Lonchura striata: one gene and its partner. The protein of the gene in region 1 interacts with the protein of each later gene in a pairwise test. Links are inferred from orthologs where the notes say so. Each region holds a gene or a part of one and is shown on either strand. Other genes may lie near its edges.

Region 1 (7,949 bases):
AAGTATTCCAGAGAATAACAGCACACTTTGAAGCATCTGTCGGAAAACCACGTGAAAAAAATATGGATGTCGCTGCCACTAAGATGTAATTAATTGTATTTATTTCTAATAAACAGAGGGACTAGTACGTTAATACAAAATTTAGAATTCTGACTCAGTTAAGGATAGGGTTTGTAAATTTAAAAAAAGCCAACAAAAATGTTCAGATTGCCCCAAAGTATCACTTTAAATTTTAGTAAATCCATTTAAAAATTATTTTTTAAATACCTTACTCCATATGTAACCTGCCTTTACAGCAATCTCTGCCCTTTATTCACAACATGCATACAGAAGACTCACCTGAGAATTTCTTTCCTTGTGAAAAATGTGCAGTCCTATGAAGTAAGAAAAGGTATAACACAAAATGACAGTTTTTAGCATGCATCGACCCAAACTTTTCCCATGCAGTGACTTAAATGAATTTATACTATAGTGTACATGTAAGCATTTAAAAATTCTTAATGGCATACATTTAGGCATATTTTATAATCTTTCCTTTTGATATAAAAAACAAACTATGTTACTAAAATCTTTGCTGCAATTCAGTATGTCTACTTATTAATTTTTAAAAGATGATGTTTTTAAAAACCCAACAATACCTTTGCCATTATTCAATGCCCTGTCCAAAGAGCCATTTAGTTTGCTTTATACCTGATATGCATCCAGTTGCTCCTGAGTGAAAATGGTTTGCTTGTTGCCCATTTTGAGCAGGGAATACTGACTCCTGTCAGTTCTTTCCTCAAAGGCACCTTTATAGGTCCTCTGGATATTCAGTTATTAAAAGCTGCAACAATGAGGCTCAGGTACAGCAGAGGATCAGGTAACCAACTTGTACAGGCTGCAAAGTATCATAATAGGAGCATTTCATCAAATCTTTAGTCTAGCTGCTTGAGGCTCTTATCCAGCAGCATTCACCCGTCTCCTGTGTGCACCACGAAGACTCGGGTTACAGGATTTAGCCAAATAAGTAATAGCTGCTCATTAGTGCCCTTCAGTTGCAAGAAGACCCAGTGGACCCTGCTTTTTCATGCCTTCAGATATGGTGAATAAACTGAAAAGTGTTAGCAGCATTTTCCTCCTTTAAAATTTAACACCAAATGATGGAAATTTGGTAGCCCCTCCTCCTTTCCTTCTCATATTTTATAGGGTCAGAATTATAAAAGCCCTTGGAAAAGCCCTTTTAGATCATTAATGCAGCACTGCCAAGATCACCAATATTCCATGTCCTCAGGTGCCACATCCACATGTTTTTTTGAACACTTCCAGGGATGGTGACTTCACCACTGTCCTGGGCAGCCTGTGCCAGTATTTTCCTTTAATGCACATTGTTAAAATACACTAATGCTGGTGGTAGCTTGTACTGGAGGTAGTAACCATAAATTCCGCTCACTCCCTTCCTTCTGCATCATCTGCTGACGTATCTTACTACTAATTAATGGTGATTAGCATGACATCCATCCATACTGATTCATACACGGCCTTTGCACTGAAAAGATGTGTGAGTGTATAGTTCATACCTGTGAACAGAAATGTGATGCTATGAAAGATGAAAAACAAGGGGAAAAAAGGAGGAACTGGAACAGGCTGCTTTTTCATGGAGCTGTAAAGTTTCTATTTCTGGGTCACTGGTTCCCTCTGACTGGTGGAAGATCTCTTCCTGGGGCAGGCTTGCTCCTCAGGGTATCTTCCCATAGCAAAAACGATCTGGAATGGTTCTGTTCAGAGTGCAACAAGAAGTGTGGGGAGGGATGGGGCTGGTCCCTCCTGGTGTAGCCTAGATCTCCAGGTGTTCTCCTCAAGGCAATTCCATCCTGTTGTCCTCAAAATCAGATTTATTATGTGATGTGCAACAAGCCAATAATTACACAGTTGAGAGAGATATTATTTGCACAAGCCTGGATGCTTGGTGGGTTTCCACAAATCCAACACACCCCACTGGACTTTCCACGCCATTATTTACAGAAGTTCATCGTCTTTTTCCAAGGTCAGCCTCTCTATTAAGATTATTTAGTAATTTCCATACAAGTTAGACAATCCCCAGCTAACTTCTCCACATGCAATGGGGAAGGGTCTGCACCTGGGCAAGGTCTTTTTGACCCTTAGGCATGATCTTAAGTATTATAATGAAGATAGTTCAGCTAGTTCAGCTGTAGGATATACAGACCTTGAATCCTTTGCCAAATTATCAATGTATACACACACATACATCAACATTTTGATTTACTACATCCCTAAAGCTTGTTAATTCCCATATGTTGTTGACTAAGGGCTGCTAGCTGCTGTCTTCCCATTCATTACATCTCCTTTCTTGCTGAATAGGTTTGAAAGTATAGAAAGAGTTTACATCAAAAAAAAATTCTATTTTTAAATAATCTTGATATATTCCATATTTTGCAAGTCCTGCTTCGGTTCCCCTCACAGAGATACCCCCGGACTGGGCTCACTGCCCGCTCCCCTCACGGAGGTACTAAGGCGGCTCAATGTCCGCTTCGGTTCCCCTCACGGAGGGGCGGGCGGGGCTCGTTACCGGTTCCCCTCACGGAGGTGCTAAGGCAGCTCATGGCAGTCCCGGTTCCCCTCACGGAGAAACCGTGCAGGGGTCGTCCCCGGTCCCCCTCACGAAGATGCAAGGCAGCTCATGGCAGTCCCGGTTCCCCTCACGGAGAAGCCGGGCGGGCTCGTTCCCGGCTCCCCTCACGGAGAGGCCGGTCCCCTCACGAAGATGCAAGGCGGCTTTATGGCCGTCCCGGTTCCCCTCACTGAGAGGCCGGTCCCCTCACGGAGGTGCAAGGCACCTCATGGCCGCTTCGGTTCCCCTCACGGACGGGCCGGTTCCCTCACGGAGAAGCCGGGCGGGGCTCGTTCCCGATTCCCCTCACGGAGAAGGCGGGCGGGCTCGTTCCCGGTTCCCCTCACGGAGAAGCCGGGCGGGCTCGTTCCCGGTCCCCCTCACGGAGAAGCCGGGCGGGCTCGTTCCCGGTTTCCCTCACGGAGAAGCCGGGCGGGCTCGTTCCCGGTCCCCTCACGGAGAAGCCGGGCGGGGCTCGCGCGCGGCTCCCGGCGCCGGCCGTGCCGTTGCGGCGGTGCCGGCAGGGGGCGCGGGCGCGGCCGTTCCGCCATGGCGGACTACGAGGCAGTGCAGCGCGGTCCGCTGCGGCTGAAGGGCAGCGGCGGGGCCCTGGGGGCCGGCAAGCGGTGAGGGGGGAGCCGGGGGGAACCGGGGGAGAACGGGGAGCGGTGAGGAGGGGTCGGGAGAACCGTGAGCGAGGAGGGGACACACAGCGCCGGGGCTGAGCTCTGACCGGGCGCTTCCCGCAGGAAGAAGAAGAAGGCGAAAGACAAGGCCCAGATGCTGGAGCAGATCGTGAGCAGCAAGAAGCAGGAGGAGGAGAAGAAGCGCGGGCTGGACAAGCGGACCCCGGCGCAGGTGGCCTACGAGAAGATGCAGGAGAAGCGGGTAAGGGTTTAAAAGCCGCTGTCACCCCTGGGGTGCGGCCGCTGAGGGGGCTGCGAGTGCCGGGAGTAACCGGCCTTAATGTGTCTCCTACAGCAAATGGAACGGATCCTGAAGAAAGCGTCGAAAACCCACAAGCAGCGAGTGGAGGTGAGCAAAACCATCCCGAGTCCATCAGGCCAGCGTGTTTTGTTGGGCTGAAGGAACTGTTCCGCCTTGTGAAACACAAGCCGGGACGCAGGGGGGGCTTGTGGTTCAACTTGGTGATGTCAGCACCCTGTTTTCTTTCTCTTTGCCTCCCCCAGGACTTCAACAGGCACTTGGATACTCTGACTGAGCATTACGACATTCCCAAAGTCAGCTGGACTAAATGACCGGGCTGCTTTTCACGGCTCTGGAGCTGGAGTTGTGTTTTGTTTGTATCAAGCAGGGTTGCCATGTAAATCTGTCTTTTCTCTATATTGTCTAATACATCTTCTGAGCTTTTATGACTTCATACTGTCTTATTTTATAGACTTGTTATTTAAAACCAATCATCCAGCAATGTCTCCTGTGGGCTGAGGAGCTCTGGTTTACATCGATGGAGAGGGCTGTTTTTTTTTAGTGTTTATAGTGAGATTAAGGCCAGAACGAATTGCTGTGAGCCAGATGGAAAACATTCCTTTTATTTTGTTAGTTCTAACAGTACTCCTTTTTTCAAGTGGAGTCTGACAGTCTCATTAAGTTTCTCTTGTAAGTTATGTGAATTGTATAATTACTTTCTATCAAGTTCTGTCAGAGGCCATGTTGCAAAACATGAAATATGTAAAATTGTTTTAGGAAAGGATATTCTTTGGTATTTGATCTTTGTATACTTTCAAGCCTAACCAGCAAGAAGGGAGGTTTAATCCATAAAATAGAGAGCAGCCAACAAGCTCTGAGTGATGTCCAAGTTTTGATAGCTGGATTTCTGGGATCCCACCGAGCATCGAGGCTTGTGCAGCTCTGAAATAAATAATCAGCGTGTCTCTCGAGTGTGTAATTGTGGCAAACAGTTATCATTTCTATCTTGAGTATCAACAGTATCATTTCTGTCTTCCAGAGGGGTCTGCTGCAAGTTGTAAATTCGATGTAATTTATTAAAACGCTGCTTCCACCCCTTTTTTGGGATGGAATGAAATGGGGCGTGTGGAGTTTGATTGTTACCCCCTCTGAGGGATGTATCACGATGTCGGAACTCCCAAACCGGGATGTTCTTAACCCGAATTACGCTCTCCGTGTGTCCGTGCCCAGCTCAGCCCGCGGACCGGCGCGCCGGGACTATTTAACGGCGCTGCCGCGGTGTCCTTCCGCCGCGCCGGCGTCACTTCCTGCGGAAGCGGAAGCGGCAGCGGCGGGCGGGACGGGCCCGGCCGGGGCGATGTCGGCCAGCGCCGTCTATGTGCTGGACCTGAAGGGGAAGGTGAGGCCCGGCGCGGAGCTGCGGGTTCCGCTGCCTTGGGACGGCTGCGGGGCCGCGTTCCGCTCCCCGGGCTGCCGGCCCCCGCTTAGCCCAGCGGGGACGGGGGAGTTGTGGCCTGCAGCCCCTCGCCGGTAAACGGGGACAGGGAGTTGTGGGCAGCCCCTCGCCGGTAAACGGGGACAGGGAGTTGTGGGCAGCCCCTCGCCGGTAGAGATGTTGGGTGAGGCGGCATCCCCGGGGTGATTAATCTCTGTGTTAGCGTTCAGGAGCACACATCATCGCGGGATATGATTATGTGCAGGTGCTTTTATTGAGAGCTTTGGGAATCAGGGGTACAGACCCAAATTGACTCCGACATGGCTTTCGAGCTGAACGTATTTTATATTATTATCGTTATATAACTTACATAAAAACTGGGGATGGGAATGGGGATTGGAAATTTGGAATGGAAAACTGAAACTGGGAGTGGGAAACTGGGAATGGAAAATTAGGAATGGAAATCTGGGAGTGGGCATGAGAATGGGGATGGAAAACTGGGAATGGAAAACTGACAATGGGGATGGGAACTTATTAAATTTATATTGTTCTATTGTATACATTGACAAGAGTTTCTCGTGATCTTCCTTAGGCCCCCTGACCACAGTTTCTCATGATTATTCTTACAATTAAACAGTAATTAATTACTAAGCAATCATCACATCTAACAATTATATCATTTATCATGTACTAGGTACACAGGTGCAGTTCTAGCAAGGTACAAGTCTTCATGTACCTAGGGTATTTAATTTTTTCAGGGCCTACTAAGCTTAATTTTCCTTTTAACCCTAAATCCCCATGATTTTAAAACCCTTTTCTTGTCATCTGCCGGTATCCTAGCTGCTTTGCTCAGAAGAATTGTGCATTTTCCTATCCTAAAACCATTCTTAGAGCCTGAGCAGTAATAGAGGTCTGGAAAATATTAATAGATTTTGCAATTACATGTTGGTGTTTGCAAAGTGTTTCAGCATTGTGATTTGCACTTACAAATGCAGAGAGGCTTGAGGGAAGCTGGATGATTTTAGAGGGGTTTATCCAGCATTTGTGTGGCTTGCATGGTAACGTCCTTGTGAAAGAGAAGAAAGAAGGATTTGGTTGCTTACAGGTTCTGATCTGTCGGAATTACCGTGGAGATGTGGACATGTCAGAGGTGGAACATTTTATGCCAATCCTTATGGAAAAGGAAGAAGAGGGGACGCTTTCTCCTATCTTAGCACATGGAGGAGTTCGTTTCATGTGGATTAAACATAACAACCTGTATCGTATCCTTTGTGCTGCAGATGTGCTGACCTGCCAAGGGTTGCTGCTGTGGTTTTAATGTCAGAATGCAAGTTGAAGTATGGGTGAAGTGGTATAAAGTGGCTATATTCAATAAAGTTGGTCATATTAAATAAGGGGTTTTTTGTGCTTTACATAGTGTCATATATACCAGCAGCATAAAGTCCAGAAAAGTGTTCTAATTTTACTCTAATTAATGTCTTCCTGAATGTTATCTTCATATCTCTTTAGATCATTAGTGCTGTTAAGTAGTTAATGCATAATTCTTCCAGGCAACTCTAAGTGCCTTAAATTAGGCTTTTTAAACTGCATTTAGTAAGTGTTTTTTTTTTTAATGCATATTCCTGAACATCCTTTATCAGTTGTTGCAACTTCTAAGAAAAATGCTTGTGTATCACTGGTGTTTTCATTTTTATATAAAGTAGTTCAGGTGAGTATATTTCAGAAGTAACCTTTATGTTCTGTCTAAATAGAAGGGCATAGAGCTTTCACATTTTTTAAGAACTTCAACAATAGTGTTTTTACTTTATATTTGATTATTTTGTTGAACTATCTTCTTAACCACTAATAAGGGCACTGATATTTTGTAGCTGTGTGGGCAGAGTGCTCTAAGTAGTTACACAAGACCTGAGCACCTGGAGGAGATTGTGAACTGGTGCATGTGTTGTCATGCCTCATACAGATCCTGTGCTTGCTTCATATCCAGAAAGATATTTTTTCATAATAGTTTCTTCTATGATTCTCTGTATCTGTTTTAATTGTGGTGGGTTTCCTGGGGCTGATCTGAGCAGAATGCTGTTTGGGAAGTATGGGGTTGGGGTTGGAACTTTACAGGATTATTATTTTAGATGCAGGAATACCTTCTGTGTGTGCTGTGCTGCCTCAGTTAATGTCCTTCTTCTCCCTCCCCCTCCTCTTGTTGCATTTCAGGTTTTTTCTGAATATTTCAAGGAGTTGGAAGAAGAGAGCATTAGGGATAATTTTGTTATTATTTATGAGTTGTTAGATGAGCTTATGGATTTTGGTTATCCACAAACCACTGATAGTAAAATTTTACAAGAGTAAGTATCACTCAACAGTGACAAAGCCCTTGGAATGTTTTGAGCCTTTTTCCATAGGCAAACAAATGTTTGGGTGTGTTCTAATTATCAAAAGTATTAATTTTATTTTTTTTCTGTGCCAATTTTCTGGTTGTGAAGGTACATCACTCAGGAAGGCCACAAACTTGAAACTGGAGCCCCACGCCCGCCTGCCACTGTTACAAATGCTGTTTCATGGAGATCAGAAGGGATAAAATACAGGAAAAACGAGGTGTTCCTGGATGTCATAGAGTCTGTTAACCTTTTGGTGGGTACCTTGGACTTCAACTTTTATGTAAGAATTGTAGTAAAAAGTGTTAAAAAGGGCTTTTTGTATGCGAACCTGCAACAAAAAGTCTGATTGTGGATGTGTTCTGTGACACTCAAAGCAATGTTATCATTAAGTTCCCATGTAATCATTAATTAAGTAATGTAATAATAATTAAGTAACATAATCATTAAGGAAATCCAGTACAAATAATGCTTTAATTGTGTGTATTGCTGATTTTTGGATATGTCCTTTGATCCTCTATACTGGATTAATTCCTGATAAGAAACATATCCAAGAAAGCCCAGGGCATGGGGATAGGGTGTGAGTGTTTCTTGATGTCACAACATACCA
Region 2 (7,696 bases), on another chromosome or scaffold:
CAGCATTTAATTCTCTTTTCACATTAGCACACTGTTCATACACACAGAACCAGCAGAGATTTGATTTGATTTGTCCCTGAAAGCCTCGCAGGGACAGCAGCAAGAGCTCCAGGCTGCCACAGCACCAGGGCACAAGAGGAAACAAAAAAGGCAGCAGAGGCCAAGCCCTGGCAGGCAGGACAGGGCCCAGGGACTTTGAGGCCAAACACTCTGGCTTTTGGCCAGGGACACTGAGGTGCTGCTGGAAGAGACGTGATCCAGCATTTACCTCAGAAATGGGAACTCGTTGTGCAATATCCAGCAGGGCTGGAGAAAGCAGAGCCTCACACCCTGGTTCAAAGTCTACAGTAACTGCTCTGTTTGCCTTTAACTCTTCCTGGGCTTACCACATTCCCCCTAAATGGCTGCATTTTCTGTGTCATCCCTGAACAAACAACTGGATTTGAAATATGAAACTGCAATCGTGTTTGTTCTTACCAACACAAGTACAGTGAGATTTATAACAGAATAATAATTAAAAAAAAGCCAAAGGTGCTAAAGTGCAAAATCCCCTTTTTAGCTTCATAAATGTCGAAGGCTGACTTGAAATTCTAAGGCTTTAAAACAATTATCTCAAGTGTTAAAAATGTTGCAAGCATTTTGCAAGTACCAAAGAACAGAGCTGCTGATTTTCAGAGCTGACCCAGATGCTTGGGAGCTTTAGAGCTTTCCTTTCCTCACCTCCAGACAATTCAGCACACCTTTGAAACAGCAGGCAAAAAGGCCTTTCACACGTGCTCAGGGCTCAGTGCTTTCACATTATGGTATCACTGCTCTCTGTTCTGGGAAATTAATTCCAGAAATGGAAAATAAATTCATATGAAGCATTTCACTAGGAAATTCCACACCCTACAAGCCTTCTATAAGAAGCAAGGGTGAAAAAATGAAGTCAGTTTAATTGCACATGCAGCCACGGACCCTGTTCAGCTCCCACCCCCTGCTCTGGGAGCAGCTCAGGGTCCCACAGGGAGGAGAGCAAGTGAAACACTTCAGCAGCTGCTGAGTGGCAGCAGGAGGCTCAAACAGGCTCCCTGAACACACCTCAGCCCAGGAGCTCCCCAGCTGCAGAGCTGAGCCACCCCCAGCCCCATTTCCAGCACTCAGCCACCAGGGTGACAGCTCTGTGCTGATGAACAGGACCCAGTGTCACAGCCTGTGCCACTGGCACTGCCACCTGCACTCATCACCCCTCACATGCCTCAGGCAGGCCAAATGAGGAGCACCAACCTGTCCCCGAGCTGGTGTCACAGCCAAATTCCCCTTGCTCTTGCACCCAAACAGCAGAGCCCAGCCCCACAGTGCATCCAGACAGAATTCATCAGGGAATCAAAATTAAGAGTAAACTCCATTTTAACCATGCAGCCTGGCCTGAGCTTTCAAAACACATCAGATGGCACTTTAAAGCAGCTGCTTTAACTTTAACTTTTCTTCTCACAGGCTCCCTGTGACACAATAAAACTACAAATCACTTAAAATTTGGCATCTCACGTTCGGTACTCCAGCTCCCAGCAATGGCCTGGCCCTTAACTGTGACCTGAATGTGCCTTTTTTGAGAATGTGGCCAAACCCAGAGCAACAGCTCAGGTTGTTTCAGCTGCCTCTGACTCACTAAATAATGACCTGAGCAGAAGAAAACCTGAAGATCAGTAAAACTACACACAAGCATGTGCCAGTGCCACACCCTCCTGCCATCCAGTGCCACCAAGTGCCTTCTGGCAGCTTCCTAGGGCAGCAGGTGGTGTCAGAGGGAAGAGGGATGGCCCTGGCAGCTCTGCTGGGACACGGTTCTCCCCTGCACACTGCAAAGCTGGGGCTGGCAACCAGAGCAGCTTTATGCTCCAGTACACAAAACTCCTCAAAAACGAGCAAAACCACTGCTCCCTCCTGAAAAAACAGCAAAACCACTGCCACTTTCCTGGAAAAAAAAACAGCAAAAGTGCTGCCCCTCTCCTGAGAAACAGCAAAACTGCTGCTCCTCTCCTGAGAAAAACAACAAAACTGCTGCTCCTCTCCTGAGAAACAGAAAAACTGCTGCCCCTCTCCTGAGAAAGCAACAAAACTGCTGCTCCCTCCTGAAAACCAGTCCATTTTCAAAGCCCTGAAGGTGCACAAAGCCCAGAATCAATTGAGCCACTCACCTCCTTCCGCTTGGTTTTTGGGCACTCCGACTGCAAGGTGAGAGTTGCTCCTTCAATATTCCTTGGCATGGGAGTTGAACCAGGATTTATCGTTAGATGAATCTGATCTGGAGAAATAATATGTTGCACATAACCCTGTGACATCCCTTCATGATCTGGTATTAAATGGAATCCTTCTTCGTGACCCTCGGGTAAAAAAGGCAAGTGGTCACCGCACTGTCCTTCATCCTCCTCATCCTCCAGCACACTGTGGTCCTGCTCGATAAGCACAGTTGTCCTGTCGTATACCGTCCCGGACGAGGAGGACACCAGCCCGTTTTTGTCGGCAAACCTCATCATATTTTCATCTTGGGCTAAGTCTTCTTCCTCCGCCTCACAGCACACGGCGTTGCCTTCGGGGCTGTTCTCACCCATGGCTCCGCGCTACCGGCAGCTCCCACCGGAACGGCTCATCTGCAACGCAACGAGAGGCGGACGGGGGTCAGGCGGCTCGGCAGGGCCCCGTTCCGCCCGCAGGCACAACCCCGGGGCGGCCGGTGGCGGCGGGGCCGAGCCGGGCCGAGCGCCGCGGTCCCGCCCTGAGCGCGGCGCTACCCCCACCCGGCCCGCTGCCGCCAACAGCCACTCCCGCTGCCCGCGCCAACCGCGCTGCTCCGTGCTCGGCTCGCTCGGCTCGCTCAGCCCTCCCTCCGTCCCTGCCTCCCCCTGCCCCGCTCACCGGGTGCCGGCGGCTCCTTCCCCGCCCCAGCGGCACCATGATCGCCGCGACCGCGCTTCCGCTTCCGGCCGCGCGCCGCACGCCGGGAGCGCCGCGCCCGCCGCGGGGGCCGACGGGAAGGGGGAGGGCGGGCGGGAGGAGCGCAGCGCCCCCTAGCGGCCGCGCGCCCCTCACGGCCCTCAGCCACCGCGGAAAGATGTTTTTATTTAAATAGCAGCGGCTTAAAAACTCGCCTCGTTTTAACAAGTTAAATAAAGTACAGCGAACATATCAGCTCTCTTTTTTTTTAACTAGTCTACATACAGCTTATTGATAAATTTGATGTACTTTGCGGCGTAATCAGGTGTCAAACTGCCTGATCTCCACCTTCGAAAGCAATAGATTGTATAAAACACTGTGATAGCAAAAAAGTGCCAGTATAATGTCCTCGTTTTAATAAATAAAATACAGTGAACATATCAGCACTCTTTTTTTTAAAATTCATCTATGTACAGCTTATTGGGAAATTTGATGTACTTGACAGCGTAATCAGGTGTCAAACTGCCTGATCTCTGCCTTCGAAAGCAAGATTGTATAAAACACCATCATATCAAAAAAAGTGCCAGTATAATGTTAAATAAAATACAGTGTACATATCAGCTCTCTTTTTTTAAACTCATCTATGTACAGCTTATTGGGAAACTTGATGTACTTTGCAGCTTAATCAGGTGTCAAACTGCCTGATCTCCGCTTTCAAAAGCAACAGATTGTATAAAACACCGCCATATCAAAAAAAGTGCCAGTATAATATACAAAAAAAATATATATTTTTTTACAGCAATTCAATGTCTACAAGTGAGATTAACCGCATCTGAGGTTCATGATAAATGATCTTCTCTGACGAGGAACTGGTGGATAAACTGCTGCGCTTTCCTCTTGGCAGCGATGTCAGGCGTGGCGTGGCCGGGGGGCGGCCGCAGCAACAAACCCCCGAACACGCTGGCTGCAGGGAAAGCACACGGACACACGGTGAGAGCAGCAATCGAGGCACCCTGTGGGAACCCAGCACATCCCTCTGGCTGCCCCGGCTGGCCCAGACCCTGGCAGGGGGCTCAAAGACCTTGGCACAAAGTCAAAAACACCTGTGAGTTCGATTTTAGCCAGTGGAAAAAGCTGCCAGTTCTGTATGAGGAATTACAAGCCACAAGGGTTTGAGTAGTGTGGTAGTTGAGTTAACACAGGGTGGAAAAGTAGAAATTTGGGGTTTTTAGACTAGGATTCAGGGGGATTTGGGCATATCCTAGCCTTCTTCTCCTTCTTCTTGCTCTCCATGTCTTGGTGTGATGGTGACACTTTGCTATTGGTTTAAGGTAGAGACAAACTGTCTAATGTAAGTGATAGGTATTGGCAGGTTATTGTAAACACAGTACACGTAGTTTTTGGTATAAAATGTAAACACCACCCTGAGGGCACACAGAATGCCATGGCCGACTTGTTAGAGCTCAGCAGGTCAGAGAAAGAATGTTATATATAAGGAAAAATAAACAACCTTGAGAAGCTGACTCTATGCATTCAGGCTCCTTCTTTGGCTGCACAGGTTGGGAAATGAGGACTTTTACACTCTTGGGGTCATCCCATCACCCAGACCCTGAGAGACCCCAGGGAGGAGAGCCTGGCTTTGGTGTGAGGCAAGATAAAGCTGATAGTCCCCACATCTCTGGGCTGCTTTCCCAGACTCCTGTTTTTCTATGGGCTATTTGTTTCTAATAAAAGGTTCAAAGCACTACAAGCCACCACTGCACTGGGGTATGAAGTGTTTTGTTGCCCTACCTGTGCAGCCCCTCTGAACAGAGCGTTATTTTGCTGGCCTTACCAAGAATATTCACATCCAAATGGTTCTTCCCTGAGTTCTTCAGTAGCTCTCGTAGAAATGCCATCAGATATTCGAACACATTTTTATGGCATGCTGGTAGGGCAGAGATAATCTGAGAAAGGAAAAACACCAACATTCACACTGCAGACACAGCAATGCCTTCCAGCTGCGCCTGCCCCCAAAACCCCCCACTCTGCAGGTGCCAACAGCTCTTTACACCCTAAAAGCACCAGTTCCAGATCATTTCTATTAAGAGAGGATTACTGAGAGCAAAACTGGGTGATGGGTGTAGCAGGGGCCAGTTTCCCTGCCCTCCCTGTGGAACTGGTCTAGCAGAGGCCAGTTTCCCTGCCCTCCCTGTGGCACTGGAGCTGGTCCCTCGGGCAGCCAGCAGTACCTGACAGCTCAGCCCGTAGTTGCTGGCACTCTCCAGACAGGAGCTATAGAACCTGCAGCAGATGACAGGCTCAGGAAGGCTCTCCAGGAACAGCAGCAGGGCCTCTGCCACTGAGTGGTTGCTGCCCACTGATCCACTGGTTAAGGAAGAGCACAGCACGACCTAGGGTGCTCCTATTTCTGCTGAAACATGAATGAATTTTGGGTTAGGTGTCCCAGAACTGTGCCTACAGCTCACAGCTTTGGGTTAATCCCCTGGCCTCCACACGAGCTGCTGCTGTTAGCAGCTGGGCACTTGTGTCATTCATTGACATCGCCAGGACTCAGCAGAGGATGACACAGAGCCACGAGGAAATGTAGAGCTCAGGTACCCCAGGAGGAGAGACAGAAGCTTAAAAACCTCTCAGAGTTTTGGCACTCTGGCATAGTGAGCCTTCCTTGACACCAGTCTGAAAGGATACAGAAAGTATCGTACATTCCCTTGTCCAAACAGTCTCGGATTTGCTCAAATTCAGATCTGAGGCCTGGCTGCTGAAACAAGTCCTCCTGCAAAGACAACCCTTTATCAGTACAAGGAAAATAGAACAATTGTGGGTAAATAGAGCAATGTTCCTATAATCTGCCTGGGAAGTCTCTCCAAATTGGTGGTTGTCACCCAAGTCTGCTTGATAGCCGGACACTGCTGGTACCTGGGCACACAGACACGGTCACTAGCACCAAACAGTACAACCTGGGGCATCAGGACCACTTATCTCCATGGCCTTTGGCCAAACACACCCAGCTCGTGGTGACTGCTATTACCAGTATCTTCTTCCAAACTTAACCCAATGCAAACATCTCGTTTTGTGTTTCCAGTGCCAACCTGCTGGGAAGCGTTGCGATTCAAGTGATCCACCATCATCCACAGCTCTTTTGGGATGTCCATAGGCTTTTCCTCTTGGGCAGGATCATCACTCATGTCTACTGGCATCAGGGTCTGAGGGAGGGCAGTGTGGGCAGGAGAGAGACAAACAAAAGGTAGCTAGCCAAGTTCTTATTCAACTTGGCAAAAATACTTCACAAAGCTTATACCTGAGAATTGAGACTTCTTAATAAAAACATACAGGCCTTAGCACCTAGTTTTATTGCTCTTGTGTGTTTGGAAGGGAATCTTGTCTTTAACTCACAAGTCTCCGAATGGATTCTGCTGACATGTCCTGGATTGGTTCCCTCATGTAACACAGTGTATGGATGGGAGACCCAAAGCAACTTGGCAAATAGTTGCCTGTTATGGATAGAAAATAATCCTTCCCATTGACAAGATGCAAGACTAAGATATCTTCAAGTTTTTCCTCTCCAGAGTTTAAGCGAGTAGCTGTTGATTTATTAACAAACACCTCCAGCTCAACTGTGATCTCAGCATCTGCCAGAAGATGATAAAAAACCCACACTCAGTTACAATCAGCATTAAACCAACAGCCTGCAAACAGGCACAGCACTCTCAGAAGTGCAGAGGGAACTAAGCCAGAAGGGGATAATATCAGCAGTAGCACGAGACAAAAGGAGGAGCTCACCTGAGAGCAAGAAGCCCTTACTGGGATTAGCAGTCAGCCACTCCTTGCAGTAGGTTTCCTCATCTGGTTTGCTGATAAATTGGAACTGGCAGGGCACTTGGCCATTGCGGATTGTAAACCTCTCTACCTGCAGCTGCATGTATTTAACATCCTCAAAATGGATCTAGGAACAAATGTCAGTCAACATCATCAGCCGATTCCATCTCCTGTGGTTTAATTTTTAAACAGCAAGACAACTGGATTAACCCCTTGCTGCCACCCCCCTCTCCTCCAGGAGTGCATAGGATCACATGTGCATACTCTGAATGCCAAAGTCCCTTCTGTCAGGGGGCCCTTTAAAACAAATGCTGCCCTCAAATAACTACAATAAAATTGAGAATGAGATAGCTGTGGCCTCAAATGTCTCCTGGGCTTATCTTTATAGTCCCAACACACAAAGCAAATGCTGGTTTGTGACCTTCTCCAGACCCTTACAATTTTACATTTTATGTTTGAAAGCACAAGTCAGAGCAAGGGTCACAAACCACCTTTTTACTTTCTCTCTTCCCACTTCATGGAATTGCACATCTTGTGTTTCAGCCTTGGACTGTGAATGGAATTCACCAACATCTAAATATGAGCAAAGATTCCTAGGGCTTGTAAACACAGAGCAACTGGAAGTCAAAATATTCTACTTTTTGTAACCAGACCCAAGGGTCTAGGATCCATCTTGTGCTGCTGGGCCCTAGGGTTGCTCAGTTCCTTCAGGGAGTGCTGGCACATGCCCATGCCCTACCTCTCTGCGGGACAGTGTCACTGAGGGAATGTTGGCATTCTCCAGCTTATCCAGGGAGCGCACTATTTCCTCAAAGGCTTTTCGGTAGAGCTCTTCATTCACAACCTTCACCTGAAAAGGACACACACTGCACCAGCTAGCACTGACTGTGCCTCTGCAGGACAGCTGGAACACAGCTCCAAACATGTCATTTGATTTTAGCAGCACACTAGGGTGTACAACACA

Evidence for each region.
Region 2: the proteins of AP1M1 (region 1) and MTF1 interact in binary tests that used the Homo sapiens proteins (3 or more experiments, as listed by UniProt). The two-hybrid records come from large-scale screens. The link is inferred for Lonchura striata from reciprocal best matches to the Homo sapiens genes AP1M1 and MTF1.

Annotation. Positions count from the first base shown.
Region 1 is NC_134630.1:4,652,960-4,660,908, reverse strand, and holds the start of AP1M1 (AP-1 complex subunit mu-1), read left to right. Parts: upstream 1-4,854; 5' UTR 4,855-4,892; coding exon 4,893-4,934; intron 4,935-6,075; coding exon 6,076-6,232; intron 6,233-6,610; coding exon 6,611-6,678; intron 6,679-7,178; coding exon 7,179-7,309; intron 7,310-7,447; coding exon 7,448-7,595; intron 7,596-7,949. Other genes in the region: CIB3 (calcium and integrin-binding family member 3), read right to left, coding at 340-374, 691-741; protein FAM32A, read left to right, coding at 3,158-3,234, 3,358-3,496, 3,590-3,643, 3,799-3,867. UniProt on the Homo sapiens protein: Subunit of clathrin-associated adaptor protein complex 1 that plays a role in protein sorting in the trans-Golgi network (TGN) and endosomes.
Region 2 is NC_134628.1:4,784,075-4,791,770, forward strand, and holds the start of MTF1 (metal regulatory transcription factor 1), read right to left. Parts: upstream 3,002-7,696; 5' UTR 2,896-3,001; intron 2,631-2,895; 5' UTR 2,592-2,630; coding exon 2,178-2,591; intron 1-2,177. Other genes in the region: INPP5B (type II inositol 1,4,5-trisphosphate 5-phosphatase), read right to left, coding at 3,753-3,877, 4,748-4,859, 5,145-5,272, 5,605-5,689, 6,006-6,119, 6,310-6,545, 6,697-6,859, 7,472-7,582. UniProt on the Homo sapiens protein: Zinc-dependent transcriptional regulator of cellular adaption to conditions of exposure to heavy metals. Binds to metal responsive elements (MRE) in promoters and activates the transcription of metallothionein genes like metallothionein-2/MT2A.